Linked DNA regions of Oryctolagus cuniculus. The protein of the gene in region 1 interacts with the protein of each later gene in a pairwise test. Links are inferred from orthologs where the notes say so. Each region holds a gene or a part of one and is shown in the gene's direction. Other genes may lie near its edges. The genes, in order: GET3, ASPH, GET4 and GPX7.

Region 1 (6,096 bases):
GGTCATTTCACCAGGGGCCGAGTTTTATCGTCATCGCCACACTGGTGGGCTTTGTACTTTTTCACTTCCGCCATGTACTTGGCCCACGCGTCACCTTTACTTGTTAATACCTGCGGGGGTCGGGGAGGGAGGGGGGGTGCCAGGGAGGCCAAGAACCCAGGGTCAGGACTGTTCCGGCGACAGCTGACCCCAGCCCCGGCGTCACCCTGATGGCCCTGGGTTCGAGGTTAAGCTATGGGGAGGTTCAGGGAAGGAAAGCCCGCCTTCCCGTCCTTGCCTCCCCCCACACACGCCCTCCACCACCCCCCCAGGACCACACCCACCCTCCCACTCACCTCATCCTCCGTCTTCTGCTTCTTGGCTACTATTCCCGTCTTGAGGGCTAGTTTGTTCCCGCCTCTGCGCTTGCCCACCTGGGTGAAGGGACAGAAGACTGCAACGGTTAAAGGAGCCGGGCCCGCCCTGGGCGGCGCTGAGGCGAACTACACCTTCCTAGCCCGGCCCGGTGGCCCGTCCCGACGCCGCGCCCAGCTCCGCCAGCCGGCCGACCTGCGCAGCAATCAGAGGAGCACACGCGACTCTTAGCGCCTGCCCTGGGCCCCCCGCCGGTGCCCAGGCAGTCCTGGGGGCCCGGGCTGCCCTCCCAGGGCAGCAAGGGGGAAGCACCCACCACGGTGGGCACTGGCCCTGTCCCCACTCACTCACTCACTCACTCTGCGGAAGAAAGCTTCCCCCCACCACCACCCACTCCTTGCTCTATGAGGGATCACGCACCTAAGTGGCCAGCAGCTGCTTTTATTGAGCGCTTACTGTATACGCCCAAGAGCTGGCGCTGTTTTGTGTCCTTTCCCGTGGCCACTCTGGGTGGAAGGCTATACCCCATCCGCGTTTTAGAGGGGAAATGCCTCATGATGGCAACAGACACTGCAGCCTTGATTCAGGGTCGGGTAAGTCTACACCACTGGACCTTAACCCCCCCCGGCAGAACCCACCCTGTACACTTGGAAACAAATGCCACAGCCAGGCACAAGTGCTACTGCCTCTCAACGGAAGGGTCCTCAGCCACGCCTGTCACCCCTTCCTGGGTCACCCGGGTGTCCCACTGACTGTGAGCCTCTGTCCAGCACTCCCAGGGCTACAGGAAAGCCTGGCACACGCCAAACCACCCCATCTGCACTCCTCCACCAGGGGGAGGGGGCCTGTGCTCCCGGTTAAAAAAAAAAAAAAAAAAAAAACTCAGCATGTTTAACAGATGAGGCCGGGAGAGGCCAGGTCACTTGTCCAAAATTCACACAGCCCCAGCCGGGAGGCCGTTGAACTCGGAATTCAACAGCCAAGATGGAGCAAGCTCCCAGCTGACAGCATCTAGCCCGGGGCCCGCTTAGCCAGTGCGGAGTTCCTGGACCTGGGTCTGAGTGGAGGCCTCCGGAGCGGGACCGCTGTTGGCCCGAGTAGGGACAGGAGGCCGTCTTCTTAAGCAGCCCGAGAGCAGCAACCCTGGCCTGTATCCGAAGATGTCACCAGCATCCCCCACCCCCAGCTCCGACACCCCCCTAAAAAAATGCCTCCAGACATGGCTACGGGAGGGGGCGGCATCTCCAGCTGAGAAGCCCCCGGTTTCTAGCCCGCCCCCCCCCCCATCAGAAGGTGCAGCCCCGCCAGCTCCAGGCCCAGCACAAGGGACCGTGCTCAACACACGGACGCTGGGCAGTCCAGGCGTTTTCCTAGAGTCTCACGGGAAGAGGCTTTATCTAAGGAACACAGTTCAGACTCCACGGGGCTCCAATGTACGCCCCGACCCCGTTCTCCATAACGGGGAGTGGTCCAGAGCCCACAGGCCGGGTTACCACCCGAACACGGATCCTGGGACTCAGGTCTGCCTCAAGCCCGGGGCGCTGCTCCCAATGCAATTCCCGGCTCCCGCTTCCCACGGAGAAGCTCCAGGGGTCCCGACTCCCGCCCAGCCCCCCCCCCCCACCGCGGTTCCCCTCTTGTCAGGAATCCAAGCGCCACATCCTCAGCGGGGGGACCCCAGGGGCCCCTCATCGGGGCGCAGGGCGGCCCTGGATCCCGATCTCCCTTCTCGGGCCCCGACTCCCCCTGCCAAAGGAGGCCCCGGCGCCCGCCCCCACCCCCGCGGCTCCTTACGAAGCTGAGTGTGGGGCCTGGGCCGCCCTTCCTCTTCGGATCCCCTGGGCCCGCGGCGGCGGCGGCCGGCTGGTCGGGTCGCGGCGGGCCCGGGGGCGGCTCCTCCTGCCGCTGCCGCTGCTCCTCCTCCATCTTCCGCTTGAACAGCTCCAGGAAGCTGCCATCGTTGGCGAACAAGTTCACGCCGCCCGACACCGGGCTCGAACCAGCGCCCGACACCTCCTCGTCCCCGCTCTCGGACGACGTCCCCGGCCCCGACTCAGCCCATCGGCTCCCGCTGCCCCCGCCGCCCGCGGGGCCCGGCGCCTCCCGACCTGGAGGCTCCGCCCGTCTCCCTCGGGCAGCCATTTTGTCGCCAGGTGCCGCGCAAAGGACTCCGGGAAGGCCGCTCCGGCCCCGCGCTTGGCGCCCGACTCGCTTCGTCCCAAGCAATGCATGCCGGGAAGAGCGGTCTGGCCCTAAGAGCGTCCGCAGTGGGGGCGGGGCAGGGGGCGGGGCGGCCAGGGGTGTGCCTAGAAAGGGGCGTGGTGAAGAGAGCCACGCCCCGAGGGTTTTCCTCTTCTAAGGGCCCGGGCCGGCGTCGCTCTGAACCTGCAAGCTACCCAGGAAATGCAGCTGGCTATCGGGATCGGGGTTACCGCTCGGGGCTAGGGCCGCAGTTGCTTTCCAGGGGTAGAATCCCTGTCTAGCTCCAGGGATAATCTCCTAGGAGAAGGGCTCCGTTGGGGGCTTGTGAGTTCCAGCTGATGCCTCCGAACTTCACTCCCCGACCAGGTCTACAGGGTCTCTGGGTTGGTGTCTCTGGGTTGGGTACCTAGCTCTGGGATGAAGCTCACATGTGGAAATGGGGGAAACAGCTGGCTCCGTGGAGCTGGGGTTCTTGTCTGGGGGGGGAAAAGTTACTTAATGGGCTGGAGTACTCAGTAGAAGCTAGGGGTGAGGGGCGGGGAGGCTTCTAGGCTGCAGTCCCCCGCCTTCTAAGTTTAAGAAAGTTCTGGACGCCCGGAACCTGGGATCCCCGGGGCAGAGAGTTTCCAGCAGGGAATTCGCGGAATTGGGAGTCTTCTCCCTGGAACAGGCCGGAGAAGGTTTTCAAGAACTAAGAGTGATTTTACGACCAAAAGTTACAAGATGGTCCCTCCCTGCCCAGCAAGGCGGTGGGGAACGGGGCGGCTCAGGCCCGCACTGGACAAAGGTCTGCGGACCCCTACCCACAACCGAAGTCCTCTTCCCGCAGCACTGAGACCGGTCTCCAGTCCCTTCATCAGCTCCTCCACGATTGGTCTGCGGTAAGAGCCGGGTGGCTCACAGCCAATGGAATAACAGAAGGGGCGGACCTGAGACGAGGTTGCCCCCAATTTGCAGAAGAGGGAGGGAATGATGGACGCGACGTAGAGCCTATGGAGTGAGGCCAGGGCGGACCGGGGATTTAACTTCACCGCAAGGGCTTGGACGGGGTGTTTGGCTGGTTGCTAAGGAGAGGCTGGCGGCTACCGGGATGTGAAAGTGATTGGTTGAAGTCAGAAAAGAAGCTGCCAATGAGAGGAGGGCTGCAAGACTTAGGGCCCAATCACTGGAGGGGAGTAGTCTGGACCGTACCAATATCTCCATTAGGCAGGGAGAAGCCGTAGAAAATTTTAGATGAGAGGTCTGCTAGATGAGCCCTGAAAGCGGAGGAGAGTGAAAATATAGCTTCTATTAGACCGTTAGAGGCAAGCTACGAGAAAATGAATTCAGTCTTCTGACCTCAAAGCAGCGGTAATAGGGAATTTCCCCCCCGTGGGTGTTCTGCATGGTGCGCTCCGCCCGATCACGTGAGCCGGTTCCAAGATGGCGGCGGGGGCGGCCGGGTGGGGGGTTGAGGCGGAGGAGTTCGAGGATGCACCTGATGTGGAGCCGCTGGAGCCCACGCTGAGCAACATCATCGAGCAACGCAGCCTTAAGTGGATCTTCGTCGGGGGCAAGGGCGGCGTGGGCAAGACGACCTGCAGGTAGCGAGGCCGCGGCGGGGAGCCGGGGAGGCGGGTGGGATGTACCACCGGGCGAAGGGGAGACCGAGACACTGGTCTTTCCACGCGGGGCCGGCGAGGGGGGTGGGGGGGGGTCTTCCAGTTACCCTTCCCGAAGCTGCCTCCCCAGTGTGGGCCTGGCGCCCCTCGGAGCTGAACCATGCCTGCTGGGGCTCCCGTGAGCCCGGCGCACGGGGCAGCGAGGGGGATGGGGGAAGGAGCTCTTCGGGGTCCCCACCAGCTGGACCGTTCCCGGGTTTGCCTGGTAGGCTGAGGGACACCTGGGCTAGCTGTCCTGGCCTAGCGAACCCTGCTGAGTGTGAGAGTGGGAGGAGGAGGAGGAGAAAGCCCATGATCAGACTGCCCCCGTCAGCTGGGGGGAGGGGGTCTCTGGAGCAGCAGATGAGTTAGAGTTGACAGAGGGGGCACAGACGCAAACCTTGCTGACCGGGCAGCTGAACCAGTGCCACCCGGTGCCCAGCAAAGGAACAGGCGCCAGGCTGGACTTGGAGCAGTCAGCACGCGAAGCCTAAGACCCCCGCCCTGCAGGGACCTGTACACGTGTCTTTTTATTGTTGTTGTTTGTTTTGAAATATTTATTTATTGAAAGAGTTAATAGAGAAAGGGAGAGACAAAGAGAGGTCTTCCATCCACTGGTTCATTCCCCAGATGGCCACAATGGCCAGAGCTGGACTGATGAGAAGCTAGGAGCTCCTTCTGGGTCTCCCGTGTGGGTACAGGGGCCCAAGCTAACTAACGGATGGGAAGTGAAGCAGCTGGGGCTCGAACCCGTGCCCATATGGGATGTGCTGCAGGAGGTGACAGCTTTACCCGCTACGCCACAGCGCCAGCCCCAACGTCTCAAGTCTCCTTTTAGTGCGGGTCCCTGCTCCTGGGACCCCACAGCTTCCCCCCTTGCAGACCCCGGGAGGGAGCAGAGGTCAACTCCCTTCCTCCCCATCCAACCACCTTTCCTTACCTAGCTGCAGCCTGGCGGTCCAGCTGTCCAAGGGGCGGGAGAGCGTGCTCATCATCTCCACAGACCCCGCCCACAACATCTCCGACGCCTTCGACCAGAAGTTCTCCAAGGTGCCTACTAAGGTCAAAGGCTATGACAACCTCTTTGCCATGGTGAGTGGTCGCCTTTTCCTCGGCTTAACCACGGGGCGGGGCGCAAGGGAGGACCCTTGGGGGAGCAGGAAGGAGGCCAGTGTTGAGTGGGGCTTGGGGAGCAAGAGAACTTGGGATCTACCCAGAGGCAGGGAGGGCCGGGCTTTGCAGGCTGCGGCAGGCAGCTTGTCCTTGCTTTGGTTGTTCTGGTTGGCTGTTTTATTTCTCCGAAAGGCAGAGAGACCAAGAAGGAAAGAGAGATTTTCCATCCACTGCTTCACTCCCTCTCCTGCCCCAAAAGGCCCCAACAGCCGTGTTTGGTGAGCCACGCTGAACCCACAGGCCCAGAACTCTATCTGGGTCTCCCACATGAGCGGCAGGGACCCATATACTTGTCCCATCCGTCACCTGCTGCGTGCCAGGGTGCACGTTGGCAAGGAAGCTGGAATCATGAATGGAGCTGGGACCCAAACCCAGGCACCGTGGCCCGGGATGCAGGCGTCCCACCCGCTGCACCACGCTCCCAGCCCCAGCTCCCTGGTCTGATGCAGAGTTGTTAGGTATCTTCAGGGCAGCGTCAGATGCCCAGAGTCATGTTTCAGAAAGTTCCTCTGCCTGCTGTGGGGAGACTGGATTGGGGGAGAGAGAGAAAGCTGGAGTGTGTCCCGGTTAGCAATGGCAGCAGCCTGCACGTGTGTGGAGGCAGACTACTGAGAGACAGTCAGGCATGGTTGAGATGTGTTCTCAAAGGAGAGCATGGTTGTAATGAGGGTGGGACAGAAATAAAACAGCTCTCTCTCTCTTTTTTTTAAGAAAAATTTATTTGAGA
Region 2 (4,376 bases), on another chromosome or scaffold:
GGGCATAAGCACTTGGGCCATCTTCTGCTACTTTCCCAGGTTTATTAGCACCTGAGAAGGGAGTGATGGATGGCCCAAGTCCCTGGGCCCCTGCACTCACTCACATGGGAGACCCAGATGGAGCTCCTGGCTCCTGGCTTCAGAGCAGCCCAGCTCTGGCCATTGCAGCCATTTGGAGAGTGAACCAGGAAATGGAAGAGCTCTCTCTTTATCTCTCCTCTCTCTTTCTCTGTATCTCTGCCTTTCAAATCAATTATTTTAAAAAACATTCATTCCTTTTTAGGACTGAATAATATCCCACTGTGCAAATAAATACACCACACTTGGTTTATCCATTTCTTCATTGAGGGACACATGGGTCGCTTCCACCTTTCCACTGCTGTGGATAGGGCTGCTATAAACACAGGTGTACTTTTCCCTTCCTATATTCTGCCTATGTTGTAGGCTTGTCTGTGACACACTAGCAATGCTTAAGCCCTCTAAGAACACTTTTTTCTTCCTTTTCTCTTTTTCTTTTCTTTTCTTTTCTTTTCTTGGTGTTGCCTTTCTTTAAGTTTGATTTTGCATCATGATGAATGCCTCTTCGGTCATTTGCTCCTAAATCTCTGTTTTCTGTCCTTTGTTACCTTTGGATAGAATTCTAATGGAACTCTTGTAAACCTTCAGAGGAAGGTAAAGACCCAAGCAACACTTCTTTTTTATTGAATGTAAGACATTAGGTTAGATGTGTGACAGCACAAAGGGCAGGGCCAGGTGGGGCAGGGGCAGGGGTGTTGTATGGGTGAGTAGCAGAAGTATTGCTTTAATGAGCTTTTAACTTGTAAATGTGAATTACTTTATCAGTCACTTTAAACAAGTTGGAAGTTTATTGTCGAAATCACACACTTTGTCAGTTATTCTCCACTGGGATGATTTTGCCCCCACCCCCACCCCGGGCCTTTTGGCAGTGACTGAGGAAGTCACACTGGTGTGCAGGTCCTGTCCTACTGCTATCTAGTGGGTGATGTTGCTACAGTATACGAGAGAGCCTGTCCAACAGAGAGTGATCTGGCCCACACATCAGTAGTGCCGAGATCAAGAAGCCCTGCAATACATCATTGTGCTTGATTTATGTTGATTTATCACCTAATAAGAAACATAAAAAGGACATCAGTCATTTTCCCAATAAAAAGGTCTTTATGATAAAGTGATAGTTTGAAATCACATTAGCATATCTATGCCCTAATGCAACTATTTTGCTAATCCAAGATGTAAAATTTCAAGTGCTTAAGTGGAATCTTAAAATATAAAGGAAATTTCATTTTAAAAACATAACAGCATTTAAGATATTAGCAATTAGTATCTATTTTTAATGGAAGGGAGCATTGTCATATAGTTAATAAACTTTCTTTGGATTTGAAAGACCTGGTGTAACTGCCTCCTGCATATTTCCGCCTTGATTGCTTTGTTTAGACTAACACTATATTTAGATCTAAGTAACCATCCAGATCTCTTGAGAGGTAGTACTGGAGGCTCTAAAGTGTTTTGCAACATTGACTTAAAATATTCCATGGATAACCCACTTGCATAGCAGATGACACTAAAAATATACAAAATCCATTCCCAATCTGCCCATTTTCCCCAACCAGTTATACTAGCTTGGAACCACATAATTTGGTTATATGCCTTCTGGTCACTGAGTGTAAGTGAAGACTCAATTCCATAAAATGGAACTTGTAAGCTGAAAGGAAAATCACTTGGTGATGCACAAACCCCTGCCAGGTGTCCTCAGAGGCACTGAGATGCCTGACACCTGGTCCCCACCTGTGGTTCTAAACTCATCTCTGAAAGACCCCGGAGGAAAAGGCCGTGGAGTCCCTAACTGAGGAGCTGTTGCATGCAGGAACTGCCAGGGCATGCGCTCCAGTGCTGGGCTGATCAAGGAGGCCCCTCCGAGGGTGAGAGCCAGCACCAGTGTGGTGCCTGTGATGCTGTCAGTAGGCCCTCATCACCAGTCCCCTGCCCATGGTACATCCTCAATGCGGAGCAATGAAAAATGAATGTTTATGCTAAGAATCCTGAAGTCCTTTCTTTGTCACCAGGGGAGGAATAAATTCTGGCTTGGCGTTCTGGTTAGCTGGTATATCGCAAAGATTATAGAAAGGGCTTCCTGCATGCGGACAGGAATTGACCTCAGGCAGCTGAACCACACAAAGCTGAACTCTAGAATCTGTGTCTCTCTGTTCCAGGACCTGGGAGGAAGGCAAGGTGTTCATCTTTGACGACTCCTTTGAGCATGAAGTGTGGCAGGATGCCTCATCTTTCCGGCTGATTTTCATCGTGGATGTGTGGCACCCAGAGCTCACCCCCCATCAGAGACGCAGCCTTCCCGCAATTTAGCAGGAATTCATGCAGGCTTGGGACCCACTACAGAGAGGTTGTCTTTTTGGCTGTGTCTCCTTGGATGTGAAGAAAGAAGTGTAAACACCAAGACTTTTCATTCCCTGGACAATTTTATGCCTCCTCCTAGGGTTTGAAGACACAAAAGAGAGTATTTGCCTCATTACAGTTCATTTAGGAAACACCTGCGTGACAACACGGACCTTCTGCCTATATCTAAGGTGAACATTTAACAGCCTCTACCTTGCCAGCCAAAGATATTCTTTCCATGTAGAATAACAGGTCTAAATCAACATACAATGAGAACATATGTAGAAACTGTGAATATATTGCTTTAGTTGGAATTTTTCTATGTAGTTATATTTTTCTAGGATAGTCAAACTGTTTTGTCATCATATACCACTACTTTTTGTGGATTTCAATGACAAGCTATGTAAATGCTTTATCTCTAGCTGTTTAATGATAACTTCCCTGGCAAACTGAGATTTCCCTCTTTTAATTCTTTCAGTAAAAGACACTCTTGAATAAAGCAATTTTACTTTCCTAATACAAAAGAGAACACATAATTACACCAATCCAATGCCTGTGAACTATGCTGATCCCTACTTATTATCTGCGTTGAGATCCAGTATCTTAATTTTTCCTCATTATGCTAATGGTGGAAATATTATAAAAATCATAGTTCTTTCTAAGAGGAGTTTTTTTAACATTGAAAAAGGATATGGAATCATTTTTACAGAGAATTATAAAAATACTGAATAGAAATTTTTTAATGCCCAGTATTAGGCCTTGTGTTTGTGAGGGGGTAAAATGCGTAGAAGATGTTCTCTGAGGACTCGGTAGATAGGCGCTGCTAGGGTGTCTGGCTCCTGTCCTTTTTGCTGTCTGTGAGCAGGACCTAGGAATCCAGGGCACCTGCCTACTGTCAATCTATGTGAGGGCATTTGGCCGTGGAGATAACCCCCACAGCTTTGTAAAAACATTAAGGGTACAGAGTGAAAGTCATGAAGGATGCTAGGATCCTCATGCTGGGTGTAGGAGGTGGAGATTGCTCTCCTCTTCTATCTCCCTGGCTCGAGGAACTTCTGCCTTTGAAACATCACTTTGAAAGAACAATAATTATCTACATGTACTGCTAATATTACCCATGACCTAAAAATCACAATAGAAAATGGTGTTGCCCACTCAATCCCAAGATAATCAAATCCCTGATTTAGTAAAGCAGTAATGTATTTGACTGTGTATTTTTAAAATACATGCTAACTAGACATGTTTAAGAATGTAATGATATTCAGGCACTGAATTCTAAGCCAATATGAACAAAAATGCCAAAATGGCACATAGATCACCTGATTGCATTCACAGGTCGAAAAATACACCTGTGCTTTCTTTTTGTTCCAATACTAAGGAGGCTTTCTTTATGTCATTAAAGACTATTTCATGGGGCCAATGTTGTGGCATAGTGGGTTAAGTCACTGCCTTTGATGCTAGCATCCCATGTGGGCACTGGTTCGAGTTCCAGCTGCTCCACTTCCAATCCAGATCTCTGTGAATGTGCCTGGGAAAGCAGCAGAAGATGGCCCAAGTACTTGGGCCCCTGCACCTATGTGGGAGACCAGGATGAAGCTCCTGGCTTCGACTTGGCCCAGCCCCAGCTGTTGGAACCATTTGGGAAGTGAACCAGTGGGTAGAAGATCTCTCTGTCTCTCTTTCTCTCCCTTTATCTCTAATTCTGCCTGTCAAATAAATAAATAAATAAGTCTATGGGGAAAAAATATTTCTTTGGGGCTGGCCTTGTGGTGTAGCAGTTAAGACTGCTGCCTTTAACATCGGCATCCCATATGGATGCCAGTTCATGTCCTGGCTGCCCCACTTCCAATGCAGCTGCCTGCTGATGGCCTGGGAAAGGCAATGGACACAGCCCAGTGTTTGGGTCCCTGTCACCCATTTGGGAGACCTAGATGGAGCTACTGGCTTTGGCCTGGTCCAGCCCTTGC
Region 3 (5,797 bases), on another chromosome or scaffold:
CTCACACGTGCACCAGGATCTCCTACGTGAGACTCGGTCCGGAGCGGGTGGACATATTTTGCATATTTATTTTTGAAGATAGGACTTTGTGCAATGTATTTTTGTAAATGCTTTTCAGAATACGTCTTTGGTAATGCTTCTTACGCGGACACCAGTTGATAAGATGCTACTGAAATGTTTAAATAAATAAAGAGTTTTAATTTTTACAGTGCATGTGGTGTTTAAACCAGCAAGCCGTGCGCTCTCCTCGGGTTGTCTGCGCCTTTGCATTTACAGGCAGAACTGGAGGCGCAGACGGAGGCACAGAGCTCCTCTGCCCGCCCGCCTGCTGCCCCGCTGGCCACCCCGCCATCGGCGGGCGGCCCGGGGAGGGGAGTGACCGTGACGTGGCCACGCCTGCGGCTCAGCCCACGCGGGCGCCGGCTCGAGACCCCGCGGCTCCGCGTCCCGGGCCGTGAGCGGGAGCGGGGCCGGAAGCGGAGCCGGGGCTCGAACCCACGCGCTGCAGGCGGCGGCTTCACCCGCCAGACACGAGTCGCCCCCTCGGCCTGAGCGGTGCCCCCATCATGGTCGGCCGTGCGTTCGTCGCCGGCTCGGTTTCCACGAGGGGCCGGGGCACCCGCGGACGCGGGTCCCTCGCGCTCTGGGGCGGCCCCGTAGGCGCGGGCCCCTCGCGCTCTCCCGGCGGCCCCGTGGACGCGGGTCCCTCGCGCTCTCCGGGCGGCCCCGTAGACGCGGGCCCCTCGCGCTCTCCGGCGGCCCCGTGGGCGCGGACCCCTCGCGTTCTCCCGCGGCCCCGTGGACGCGGGCCCCTCGCGCTCTGGGGCGGCCCCGTGGGCGCGGGCCCCTCGCGCTCTCCGGGCGGCCCCGTGGACGCGGGCCCCTCGCGCTCTGGGGCGGCCCCGTGGGCGCGGGCCCCTCGCGCTCTGGGGCGGCCCCGTGGGCGCGGGCCCCTCGCGCTCTGGGGCGGCCCCGTTGGCGCGGGCCCCTCGCGCTCTCCCGCGGCCCCGTGGACGCGGGCCCCTCGCGCTCTCCGGGCGGCCCCGTGGGCGCGGGCCCCTCGCGCTCTCGGGGCGGCCAGCGTCCAGGGCCGCGTCAGCCATTGTGCTGCGAGCGCGCGCCCGGCCCGCGTCAGGTGGTAGCCCGCGGCTCCGCCCCCGGGCCACGTGCCCCTCGCCACAGGCGGCCCGGCTGCTGAGTCACGTGTGCCCACCGCGCAGCGCCCCGCGCCTGCGTGCGGCTCCTCGCGGCCACCGTAGAGGGCGTGGCGCGGCCGCGGGACGGAAGCCGGGAGGGAGTCGCCGCCGACCGCCCCTGCGACAGCGACAGCGTCAGCCCTGCGCGGAGCGCCGGCCCGATGGCGGCGGCGATGGCCGAGCAGGAGAGCGCCCGCAACGGCGCGCGCAACCGCGGCGGCGTCCAGCGCGTGGAGGGCAAGCTGCGCGCCAGCGTGGAGAAGGGCGACTACTACGAGGCGCACCAGATGTACCGGACGCTCTTCTTCAGGTAGCCGCGGCGCGGCGCGTCCGCCCGGCCCGGCCCGCCCCCGCCCGCCTCCTATTGGTCGCGCCGCGCCAGCCCGCGCCCCCATTGGTCCGCGCGGCTGCCTGTCGGAGGCCGAGGCCGGCCGGGCGCGGGGGGCTGGGGCGGCGGGCGGGGGGCTGCGGGCGGCCGGCCCGGCTTGACCCGGCCTGACCCGGCCCGGCGCGGCCGCGGCCTCCCCTCCGCGAGCTGCGAGCCGGCTGGGGCGTCCCCGCGGGCGGCACGGCCGTCGGGCGCCCTGACCGTGGGGCGACCCCTCGGCGCGGCCTGCGGCCCGGCCCGCCCCCGGCGCCGGCGTGGCCGCCATGCGAGCCCGCGGCTCAGGCCCGGCCCGGCGCCCGCTGTTTCGTGAGGCTGAGTTTCGGGGCAGGTTCGGTTCTCGGTAACTCGCGTGGGACGTGCGTGCCAGCCCTGGGGCCCGTGGTGAGAGTCGCTGGGCTTCGCGGGGCGCGGGGGCGCAGGGTCTGAGGCCCCGGCCGGGGGACACCGGGCAGAGGACGGGCGTGGGGCCAGCACCCCCGTCCCGGGCAGAGGACGGGCGTGGGGCCAGCACCCCCGTCCCGGGCAGAGGACCGAGCGTTGGGCCAGCACCCCCGTCCCGGGCAGAGGACCGAGCGTTGGGCCAGCACCCCCATCCCGGGCAGAGGACCGAGCGTGGGCCCAGCACCCCCGTCCCGGGAAGAGGACCGAGCGTGGGGCCAGCACCCCCGTCCCGGGAAGAGGACCGAGCACGGGGCCAGCACCGCCGTCCTGGGAAGAGGACCGAGCACGGGGCCAGCACCGCCATCCCGGACAGAGGACCGAGCGTGGCCAGCACCGCCGTCCCGGGAAGAGGACCGAGCACGGGGCCAGCACCGCCATCCCGGGCAGAGGACCGAGCGTGGCCAGCACCGCCCGTCCCGGGCAGAGGACCGAGCGTGGGGCCAGCACTCCCGTCCCAGGAAGAGGACTGAGCACGGGGCCAGCACTCCCATCCTGGGCAGAGGACTGAGCGTGGGGCTAGCACCCCTGTCCCGGGCAGAGGACTGAGTGTGGGGCCAGCACCGCCGTCCCGGGAAGAGGACCGAGCGTGGGGCTAGCACCCCTGTCCCGGGCAGAGGACTGAGCGTGGGCCCAGCACCCCTGTCCCGGGAAGAGGACCGAGCGTGGGGCTAGCACCCCTGTCCCGGGCAGAGGACTGAGCGTGGGCCCAGCACCCCTGTCCCGGGAAGAGGACCGAGCGAGGCCAGCACCGCCCTGCCTTGGCGTCTGTTGCCTCCACAGCCCTGCTGTGCCCCGGGTAGGGAGTGTGTGTGGAGTCCCGGGCTCCTGGCCGAGGAGGAGGTGTGAGTCGCTCTCCTAAGTGACCTGAGACAGGTCTGGTTCCGGAACCTTCTGTGCAGTGACGCCCGGCAGTCAGGCTGCGAGGAGATGGGTTCAGGAGGAGGTTTGAGGTCGTGCAGCCTTCACCCCGGGGTGGTCATGTCCATGCCCGTGGGCTGCTCTGGGCGCGCTGGCTCCCCGCGGCTGCCGTGGGCTGCTCTGGGCGCGCTGGCTCCCCGCGGCTGCCGTGGGCTGCTCTGGGCGCGCTGCCTCCCCGCGGCTGCCGTGGGCTGCTCTGGGCGCGCTGCCTCCCCGCGGCTGCCGTGGGCTGCTCTGGGCGCGCTGCCTCCCCGCGGCTGCCGTGGGCTGCTCTGGGCGCGCTGGCTCCCCCGCGGCTGCCGTGGGCTGCTCTGGGCGCGCTGGCTCCCCGCGGGCTGCATCGCTCCTCGGGGAGCAGTGGTGTGGGGTGTGTGCGCACCGTCCCGTCTGGACCTGCGCCCCCGAGATGAGACGGGTGCTGGTCTTGGGGACCGGGATGTAGGTGTTTGCATGGTGACTGATCACGAGTGTCTCTTCCTGGAAACACACTGCCTCGCGTGGGCCAGGTCCGCAGGGCTTGGTTGTTAACCCTTAAAGCTGGTTCACTCCCAAGGCAGAGCTGGGCCAGGCTGAAGCCAGGAGCCTGGCCCTCCGTCTGGGTCTCCACGTGGGTGCAGGGACACGGCACTGGGCCGCCGTCCACGGCTTTCTCAGGCCGTGAGCCGGGAGCTGGGGAGAGCTGGGGCAGCCGGAACTCCAGGCGGCACCGCGGGCCTGGCCCTGGTGTGACCCTCAGTGGACGAGTGCGTCCATGGAGGCTGCGTTTCTGCCAGACCCCCCACTGGGGCCCGGGACGCAGCACACGCGTCCCCAGGTGCACTCTGGGAGTGCGGCCTCTCGGAAGTGGGAGTCCCCGAGTTAGCTGGGGTTCTGATGTGTGTCATGCGTTTGCATATTGCCAGGCAACCAGTCACGTGGGCCGGGCCCGCCCCCCAGTGGCTGCCGTCAGCCCTTCTGGGTTGATGGGCTTCTAGAACCCCGCGCAGTGCAGTCACGGTGGGGGCGCCTGTTTGGATTCTGAATGCGCTGAGCGGGGTGGGGGTCCCTGCGGGTGTCTTAGTCCGCTTTGTTGCTGACGGGGTCTTCGCCTGCTCAGTCCCGTGGCTGCAGGGAGCGGGGAGGGGCCGGCAGCTCAGGCCCTGGTTCCTGGGTCGCTTGCTCAGCCGGTGGCTGTTGGACCTGTCCCCGTGGACGAGGAGCGAGCTGGGTTTCAGGCCCCGTGGAGGGTGTGTGGTGCACACCCAGTTCCCCGGTGAGCTGGTCCCAAGAGCTGCTGGGGACACGGGCGGCTGTGTCCTGGCCACGCCAGCACTGAAGCCCCTGCCACGGCACAGGGTCGGACACCGTCTCCACAGCGCCTTGGCCTGTGTCCACGTCCCTGCTTGGCTGTTCCCAACAGCTGAGCACGGACAGAGCTGCCTCCAGCAAGCCCGTGCTAAGGCCCGGCCGGTCCTGGGGCACTCCCACGTTGCGTCGTGGGCATCAGCGCGTGGGTTCTGGTGTTCTGTGGGGGTTTTGCTTTGTTTGTAGAGCAAGGAGGGAGTGAGCCTGCCGTGGCCCGCGGTCGGCACCCACCTGGGAGCGGGGTCCTGGGGCTCTGCGGTGGACGCCGGGACCCTCACCGGGCAGGAGGCGCAGGCGGGCTGAGCCCTGTCGGCAGTGCGGAAGTCCTGAGGCTGCCCACCCCCCACTGGACCTGGGCTGCTGGGCCCCTGCTCTGGGCACTGTGGTCCCGGCAGCCCCCTCGCGGCCAGGACCCCACCCCAGGAGTCGGGTTCCTCGCCTTCCCAGAGTTCTTTCTCGTGGTTGGGTCTCCTAAGAGGTGGCCGGCGGGGTGAGTTTGTCGCAGGCCTCAGAAATCCAGAATTGAGTGCTGTCGCACGTGGGCAAGAAACGTGCTCGCCGGTCAGGTCAGGGGAGATGGCGCCGTTCGGTGCCCCCGCCGTGCCTTTGGGCCCGGGTCCCCGTGAGGGTGTGCCGAGGATTCGGCAGCACGTGCAGGGCGCGGAGGCTGGGGGCGTCGCTGGCCGGGAGCCCCGTGTCGCACCCCTGCCCTTTGCCGTCCCTCGTCAGGTGGACAGGGCGTGGCGCGGCTGAGGCCGCCGGACTGCTGCCCTGTGTGTGGACGGGGCCTGCCCGCCCCGTCTCCCCGGCGGCGTGCTCCCGAGAGCCCGCGGGGGCGCAGGTCCACTTCCGGGGCTGTGGGTGCCCGGGCTGTTCTCACGCTGCTCTCTCTCCCGCAGGTACGTGTCCCAGGGCAAGCACACAGAGGCCCGCGAGCTGCTGTACTCGGGGGCTCTGCTGTTCTTCAGCCACGGCCAAGTACGTGTCGGCGATGGCCAGGGGGTGCCGGCGGGTGTTGTCAGGGTGCTGGTGGGCACTGTCGGGGTGCTAGTGGGTGTTCTCAGGGTGCTGGTGGGTGTGGTCGGGGTGCCGGCAGGCGTTGTCAGGGTGCTAGTGGGCATTGTCGGGGTGCTAGTGGGCATTGTCGGGGTGCTGGTGGGTGTTGTCAGGGTGCTAGTGGGCGCTGTCGGGGTGCTGGTGGGTGTTGTCGGGGTGCCGGCGGGTGTTGTCAGGGTGCCAGTGGGCGTTGTCGGGGTGCTAGTGGGTGTTGTCGGGGTGCTAGTGGGCGTGGCCGGGTTGTTGGCGGGCGTGGTCGGGTTGCTGGTGGGCGTGGCCGGGGTGCCAGTGGGCGTGGTCGGGTGCAGGCAGCCCTGTGCCCTCCCTGCGTGGCCGTGCCCCGTCTCTCACCTGTGGCCCTTGTTCTGCAGCAAAACAGTGCTGCGGACCTGTCCATGCTGGTCTTGGAGTCCCTGGAGAAGGCGGAAGTGGACGTGGCCGAGGAGCTGCTGGG
Region 4 (6,044 bases), on another chromosome or scaffold:
TCAAGTCCTGTTAACTACATGATCCTGTGCCTGGCTTCACAATCTTGGCTTGCCACAGCCTGGACAGTGACTCAGGAATCAAGCCCCTGATGACTGCTCCACCCTCATCTGCCCTCCACCCCAGTAGCCAAGTGCCCCTCTCAAGCTCTGTGCCTTCATAGACACTGCTCCCTTCCCAACCCAGAGAGCTCCTTTTTCAATATGTGGCTCTGGTCCCACCACCTCCAAGAAGCCTTCTCTCTCTGGCTGCTCTGGCCACGAATCAGCTGCCTCAAAGTCCTGGGGTTTCCTCTGTCCCAGCATCTGGATCATAACTGCACCTGTTGTCTCCCACCCACTCTTCCCACAACAGCCAGTGGTATCTTTCTGCAACACAGGACCCCCTGTGGTACTGCCCCACTGTAAAATAAAGCACAACTCCTTTTTGGCTTCTTGATTTGATGTCATTTCCACCTGCTTCCCCGCCTTCCCTTTCATCCTTCCATCTTTCTTTTCTTTTCTTTTTTTTTTCTTTTTTTTTTTTTTTTTTTTTTTTTTTGACAGGCAGAATGGACAGTGAGAGAGAGAGCCAGAGAGAAAGGTCTTCCTTTGCCGTTGGTTCACCCTCCAATGGTCGCTGTGGCCAGCGCACCGCGCTGATCCAATGGCAGGAGCCAGGAACTTATCCCAGTCTCCCATGGGGTGCAGGGCCCAAGCACCTGGGCCATCCTCCACTGCACTCCCTGGCCACAGCAGAGAGCTGGCCTGGAAGAGGGGCAACTGGGACAGAATCCAGCGCCCTGACTGGGACTAGAACCCAGTTGCTGGCGCCGCAAGGCGGAGGATTAGCCTAGTGAACCGCGGCGCCGGCCTCATCCTTCCATCTTTCTTCAACAAAACTACCCGTCTTCGTTTCTCATTGCACTTTTTTTGTTGTTGTTGTTCTTCAAAATATCTCTTGGCCAGTGCCGCGGCTCACTTGGCTAATCCTCTGCCTGCGGAACCGGAACCCCGGGTTCTAGTCCCGGTTGGGGCGCCGGATTCTGTCCCAGTTGCTCCTCTTTCAGTCCAGCTCTCTGCTGTGGCCCGGGAGGGTGGTGGAGGATGGCCCAAGTCCTTGGGCCCTGCACCCCATGGGAGACCAGGATAAATACCTGGCTCCTGCCATCAGATCAGCGCGGTGCGCTGGCCGCAGCACGCCGGCTGCGGCGGCCACTGGAGGGTGAACCAACGGCAAAGGAAGACCTTTCTCTCTGTCTCTCTCACTGTCCACTCTGCCTGTCAAAAAATAAAATTAAATTAAAAAAAAGAAGTGGAGCAGCCAGAAAGAAGTCAAACAGGCACTCCTCTATGGAATGTGGCTTTTTCAAGTAGCTGCCTAACCCGCTGTGCTAAAACACCAGCTCCTAATTACAAATTATTTAATGTCTGTCTCTCCCTCAATAGGGATCATGCCTATCTTGCTTATCACTGCATGAGCATCACCCAGAGCAGAACCTGGCACAGAACACTCAAGAAGTGTTTGCTGATTGTCTACAGGAGTGCTTAGTCTTTACAGGACACACGATCTCCCCCTTAGTTGGCTTCTTTTACACCAGCCTGGGGGTTCCTGCAGGGACTGGCACAGGGTTGGCTGCCAGCCCCATGCTTGGCACTTTGTGGGCCTCACAGGGAGAAACTGTGATTTGCTTCCCAAATACCCCATCAATGACGACCTGGGACATAGTTGCTGGTAGTGCTGTCAGTATAAAGCCTTTAGCTGTCAGCTCCTACAGGGGTAGGACCATCTTGCCCCTGTCACACCCCTGCCCAGATAGTTCCACATCTAATGAATGCGTGGATGAAGACAGTGGCATTAGGCCTGGCCATCTTAACTCATCTGGGGGGAAAAGGGCTCCTATGGGCCATTCTAGCTCCAGAGTCCCTGCCGGGTCAGCCAGGACAGTCCTAGAATCTGCACGGAGCTCTCCACTCCTGCCTCTGCCACTCCAGGTGTGGATCCCAAGGGTGCCCCCTCATTAACATCCTGCTCTACAATCCCCATCCTACACTCTGCTTCCCAGGAACCCAACCCCCAGTAGGCCGCCAGCTTCTCCAAGCAGTCCGTTCCTGGAACATTCATTCAAATCCCTAAACGTGTATGCTCCATTCCGCTGTCCGTGAGTCGCATTCATTTTTTCAATGGCTGGAGGGCCTAGGGACTGGAAGGCTAGGAAGGCTAGCCCCGTTACACAGACGGACAAACTGAGGCCTCAGGGGTGGAGTAACCGGCTCAGGGGCGCTGCACTGAATGAGCAGCTCAGGTCTCAGACCAGATTTCTGTTTCTCGTTCTGCACTAAGTTGCTGCCTCCTGGGGCACGCAAGAGCCCCACGAAGAAAATTCTAGCCTCAGTGGTCAGAACCTAAAAGCCTGGCTCTGGGGTCCGGGCCCCGGGGCGCATTCCAGAGCTTTTGTAGGACCGAAGGGGAAACTGAGTTCCGGAGCCCAGTGCTCGCTGGAGGAAAAACGAGAAGGGGGCGCGTCCTGCCTCGCGGGGCCGCCTCCTCCCGCCCCCCACGCCGATTCCCCACGCCTGGTCTTTGGCCTTGCATCGCCGCCCCTCGGAAGAGAGCCATGGTGGCGGCGGTGGCGGTGGCGTGGCTGCTCCTGTGGGCCACGGCCTGCGCGCAGCAGGAGCAGGACTTCTACGACTTCAAGGTGGTCAACATCCGGGGCAAGCTGGTGTCGCTGGAGAAGTACCGCGGCTCGGTGAGTGCGTGTCCGCTGCGGGGTTGGGACGCCGCCCTGCAGGCCTGCGGGGGGCGCCGGCGGCCTGGGGCCCTGCCGGGTGTGGCTCTGGCCGCTCAGCACCCGGACTCGGCTGCCACCCGCACCGGGGCCTTCTGTCCGCCCCGGCGCTCGGAGCTGGGAGCCAGCCGTGTCCGTCCCGCGACTACGTGGCACGGCCCCTGCGCGCAGCGAAACCCGAGACTCGCAGCCCGCGCCCACTTCGCTCCCGGCGGCCCGGGACAGCGGCGTCCGGCCCTGGCAGGCAGGCCCAGCCTTTGCCATCCGCGCGTGGGAAAAGTCACTTTAACACCGTGCGGCCTTTGCCTCTCCGTCCCCGGGTTCCACGTTGGGAACTGGGCAGTTGCTGATGCGGAGTCAGTGAGAACACTGGAGAGCAATGTGCGGGGTGAGGGCGGTAGCATTTTAGGTGCACGGGGGACCTTCCCACGGCCCATCCTGGAGAGATGGGAAGCGTTTGCACGAGGCCATGCGGCACTAGGCGGCCACCAGCCTGGAGGGGAGAGCACTCCCCTCTCCCTCCCTCCTGGCGAACTCTGTGCAAGGCAGCGCAGGGCGGAGACCCTGAGACTGAGACCCGGGAGCTCTGCAGGCGGGCTGGCTCCTCTTTACCAAGAAGGAATCAGCTCTGAGAGGCGACAGGGGGTCAGGGAGGGGCGTAGCTGGGCGCAATCCTTGATATGAAAGTGCATTTTTGCGGGACTAAAAAGAACATTCCAGACAAAGGGAGTTAACTGTCCTAGTCCAGGCTCAGCAGCCAACAGCCAGAAGGGAGGGAGGGGTAGGCCCAGAGGGATCATGGCAGGCCTGGAGGGGCCTCTGATACTGCCCACTGCTGGCAGAGGCCGGAGTGAAGACCTCTTCCAGGCTGCTTCCTAGATGGACCCGGGGACCCCTGTGGATAGACCACAGGAAAATGGAGTCAGCCTTCTCCTGGGCGCAAGGCCATCTCCAGGGAAGAAAGTATTGGAGAAAGCTTGCTGGAGTCCTGGGGACAGTCATTCCTGTCCTGACTGTCCCCGGGTGTTGTTCCACTTGAGACAACCGCGTAAAAGCTCTTAGAAAACTTCAGAGTGCTCTGTCCCAGGACAGGAGCCTCATCTAGGACTCAGGGCACCGAGCCAAGGCAAGTAGGGCCCTTTCCCATTCACACTTTTCCTTCTCTCTGTGCCGTCTCACCAGAGAGCTCCAGAGTTAGCACGGACCAGCTCTGCTGCTCATTAATTCATCGTTTATTACTGAGTGCCTACTGTATACTAGAAACCAACCCAGACCCTGGGAATACAGAGGTGAACGTAACAGTTTTCTTCTTTATTGGAACTTATCTGTGGGAGAGAGACAGTTAACAAAGAAGCGATAATGAACAAGGTGATTCTCAGTAGTAACAAGTGCTAGGACAAAAACAGTCCGGGGAAGCTGTAAATGGGGCTAAGAGTTAGGCCAAGCTAGGTCTGCTGCCTGGAAAATATGCTCATTCAGTTACCTGCACACATGTTCCAGCTCCTGTTACCTGGCTGGCATCCATGAGTAAGAGTGACATGGTTTATGCCCATGAGCTAATTAGGACTTAGACCAGTGTTGAGTATAGGTGTGCGGGTGACCACTTAGGTGTGTGCTTGTGTATCATATGGGGTTGTGTAGTGTGGCCTGCAGGTGGTATGTGTGTGTGTGAATGCTTTATTTGCTTGCTTTGTATGCTTCAGAGTCTGCTTTGTAAGTATCTATGTAAATTAAGTAAATGTTGGTGTGTGTCTGTGTTTTGGTCTCTAAAAATCAATCAGTGGGTTGCAGGGATGGAACTAGAAGCAAGATTTCCCCACTTCCAACAGCGTGGGTAGACACACAAGGTGTGGGTTCATAAAGATAAGCAGCTTTTAATGTTCTTATCTGTAATGCTCCTGGAAGACCCCAGACTGGGGAAGAGAATGAAGAGTCCCAGTTTCTCACCAGCCAGGGCAGAACGGGGCAGATGCTGCCCACTAATGGGGGAAGCTGTTCTAAAGCCTCTGGCCCCAGGGAATGGGTCTTTGGGGTAGAGGCAGCATGCCGGAGTTCTGGCGCAGTGTGTAGTCAGCTAGCCCAGTAGGCTCTCAGCTAGGGGTGATTTTGCCCCCCAGCCCAGGGAACACTGGATTATGCCAGGAAACATATTTGATTGTCAAGACTAGGCAGCTAGTGGGTAGAGGCCAGGGTTGCTGCCAGACATGCTACAGTGAGCAGGAGAGCCCCATGGAAAAGCAGCGTACAACCCACAATGTCAGTAGCACTGAGGCTGAGAAACCTTTCTTGCCTGGGCCTGTCGAGTGCTCCCCTAACCCTGGGAGGTGTTCCTCTTTTTGGGCCAGCTGGTATAATCCTGACTCTTCACAAACACCAGCCAGGGAGATAGGCAGGGATGGCCAGGCATGGGGTAGGGTTTTTAATACTTTAGGAATATATAGTTAGGGGCTTACAACATAGCATCAGTGCCAAAATTCTAATTGTAGTATTAAAATCCAGGTCTATCAGCCAGCTTTATATATATTGCCTATAAGGCTTTAATAAATTAAGGGATTAGTCTGATGATCAAAACATGAAGTATTGCTGGCAGGGAAGGGATAGAAAGGGAATGTCCTGGGGTCCTGGGGTTCTTAACAAGAAAACCTGTGTCTGCCCAGGTACCCATGCAGCTATTCCTGTGTGTGCACACTCACTCATCCCCGGACATGTCCTGAGACTTTCCCATACACCAGGCCCAGGGAGGAAGTGGATAGCTCCTGCCCTCTGTAGGTTCACCTTCTAGAAGGAAGGCTGACATATATACAGGCAACTACAGAGTACAGTGATAAGTGCAGATTAACTGAGCCAAAAATTAGACCCAGGTCTGCCTTTCTGTTCCTCCACATCACCCCCTGGTGTGTGCCTCTCACTGGGAATGTGTTATGTGTGTGTAAACGTGTGTGATCCATATTTGCTAATGTGTGTTTATGGATGTGCTTACCCACTAATAGATTTCATGTACTTATGCTTACAAGTGTTCATGTATGTGGTGCACATCTGGAAGCCCCTGCATGCTTGATTTCATGTGTGCCTGTGTGCATGTGTTTGTGCATAGGTGGGAGCATTGCACACACATTCACATATGTACAGAGTGTTCTTGTATTTGTAAGAGAGCATTGATGGCCAGAAGAGTCACATATGAGGTTATCTCAAAAAGTTTATGGGAAATGGAATTAAAAGGTTTTCTTGGGGGGCAAGTGTTTGGGGCAGCAGCTAAGATGCCCACATCCCTGAATA

Evidence for each region.
Region 2: the proteins of GET3 (region 1) and ASPH interact in binary tests that used the Homo sapiens proteins (3 or more experiments, as listed by UniProt). The two-hybrid records come from large-scale screens. The link is inferred for Oryctolagus cuniculus from reciprocal best matches to the Homo sapiens genes GET3 and ASPH.
Region 3: the proteins of GET3 (region 1) and GET4 interact in binary tests that used the Homo sapiens proteins (3 or more experiments, as listed by UniProt). The link is inferred for Oryctolagus cuniculus from reciprocal best matches to the Homo sapiens genes GET3 and GET4.
Region 4: the proteins of GET3 (region 1) and GPX7 interact in binary tests that used the Homo sapiens proteins (3 or more experiments, as listed by UniProt). The two-hybrid records come from large-scale screens. The link is inferred for Oryctolagus cuniculus from reciprocal best matches to the Homo sapiens genes GET3 and GPX7.

Annotation. Positions count from the first base shown.
Region 1 is NC_091447.1:62,268,223-62,274,318, forward strand, and holds the start of GET3 (ATPase GET3), read left to right. Parts: upstream 1-2,689; 5' UTR 2,690-3,978; coding exon 3,979-4,139; intron 4,140-5,140; coding exon 5,141-5,288; intron 5,289-6,096. Other genes in the region: TRIR (telomerase RNA component interacting RNase), read right to left, coding at 3-110, 336-413, 2,149-2,496.
Region 2 is NC_091437.1:86,914,209-86,918,584, reverse strand, and holds part of ASPH (aspartyl/asparaginyl beta-hydroxylase), read left to right. Parts: intron 1-2,228; coding exon 2,229-2,379; 3' UTR 2,380-4,376.
Region 3 is NC_091450.1:36,346,672-36,352,468, forward strand, and holds the start of GET4 (Golgi to ER traffic protein 4 homolog), read left to right. Parts: upstream 1-1,212; 5' UTR 1,213-1,357; coding exon 1,358-1,506; intron 1,507-2,841; exon of another isoform or gene 2,842-2,952; coding exon of another isoform or gene 2,953-2,975; intron 2,976-5,186; coding exon 5,187-5,265; intron 5,266-5,714; coding exon 5,715-5,796; intron 5,797-5,797. UniProt on the Homo sapiens protein: As part of a cytosolic protein quality control complex, the BAG6/BAT3 complex, maintains misfolded and hydrophobic patches-containing proteins in a soluble state and participates in their proper delivery to the endoplasmic reticulum or alternatively can promote their sorting to the proteasome where they undergo degradation.
Region 4 is NC_091438.1:120,295,256-120,301,299, reverse strand, and holds the start of GPX7 (glutathione peroxidase 7 precursor), read left to right. Parts: upstream 1-2,556; 5' UTR 2,557-2,594; coding exon 2,595-2,729; intron 2,730-6,044. UniProt on the Homo sapiens protein: It protects esophageal epithelia from hydrogen peroxide-induced oxidative stress. It suppresses acidic bile acid-induced reactive oxygen species (ROS) and protects against oxidative DNA damage and double-strand breaks.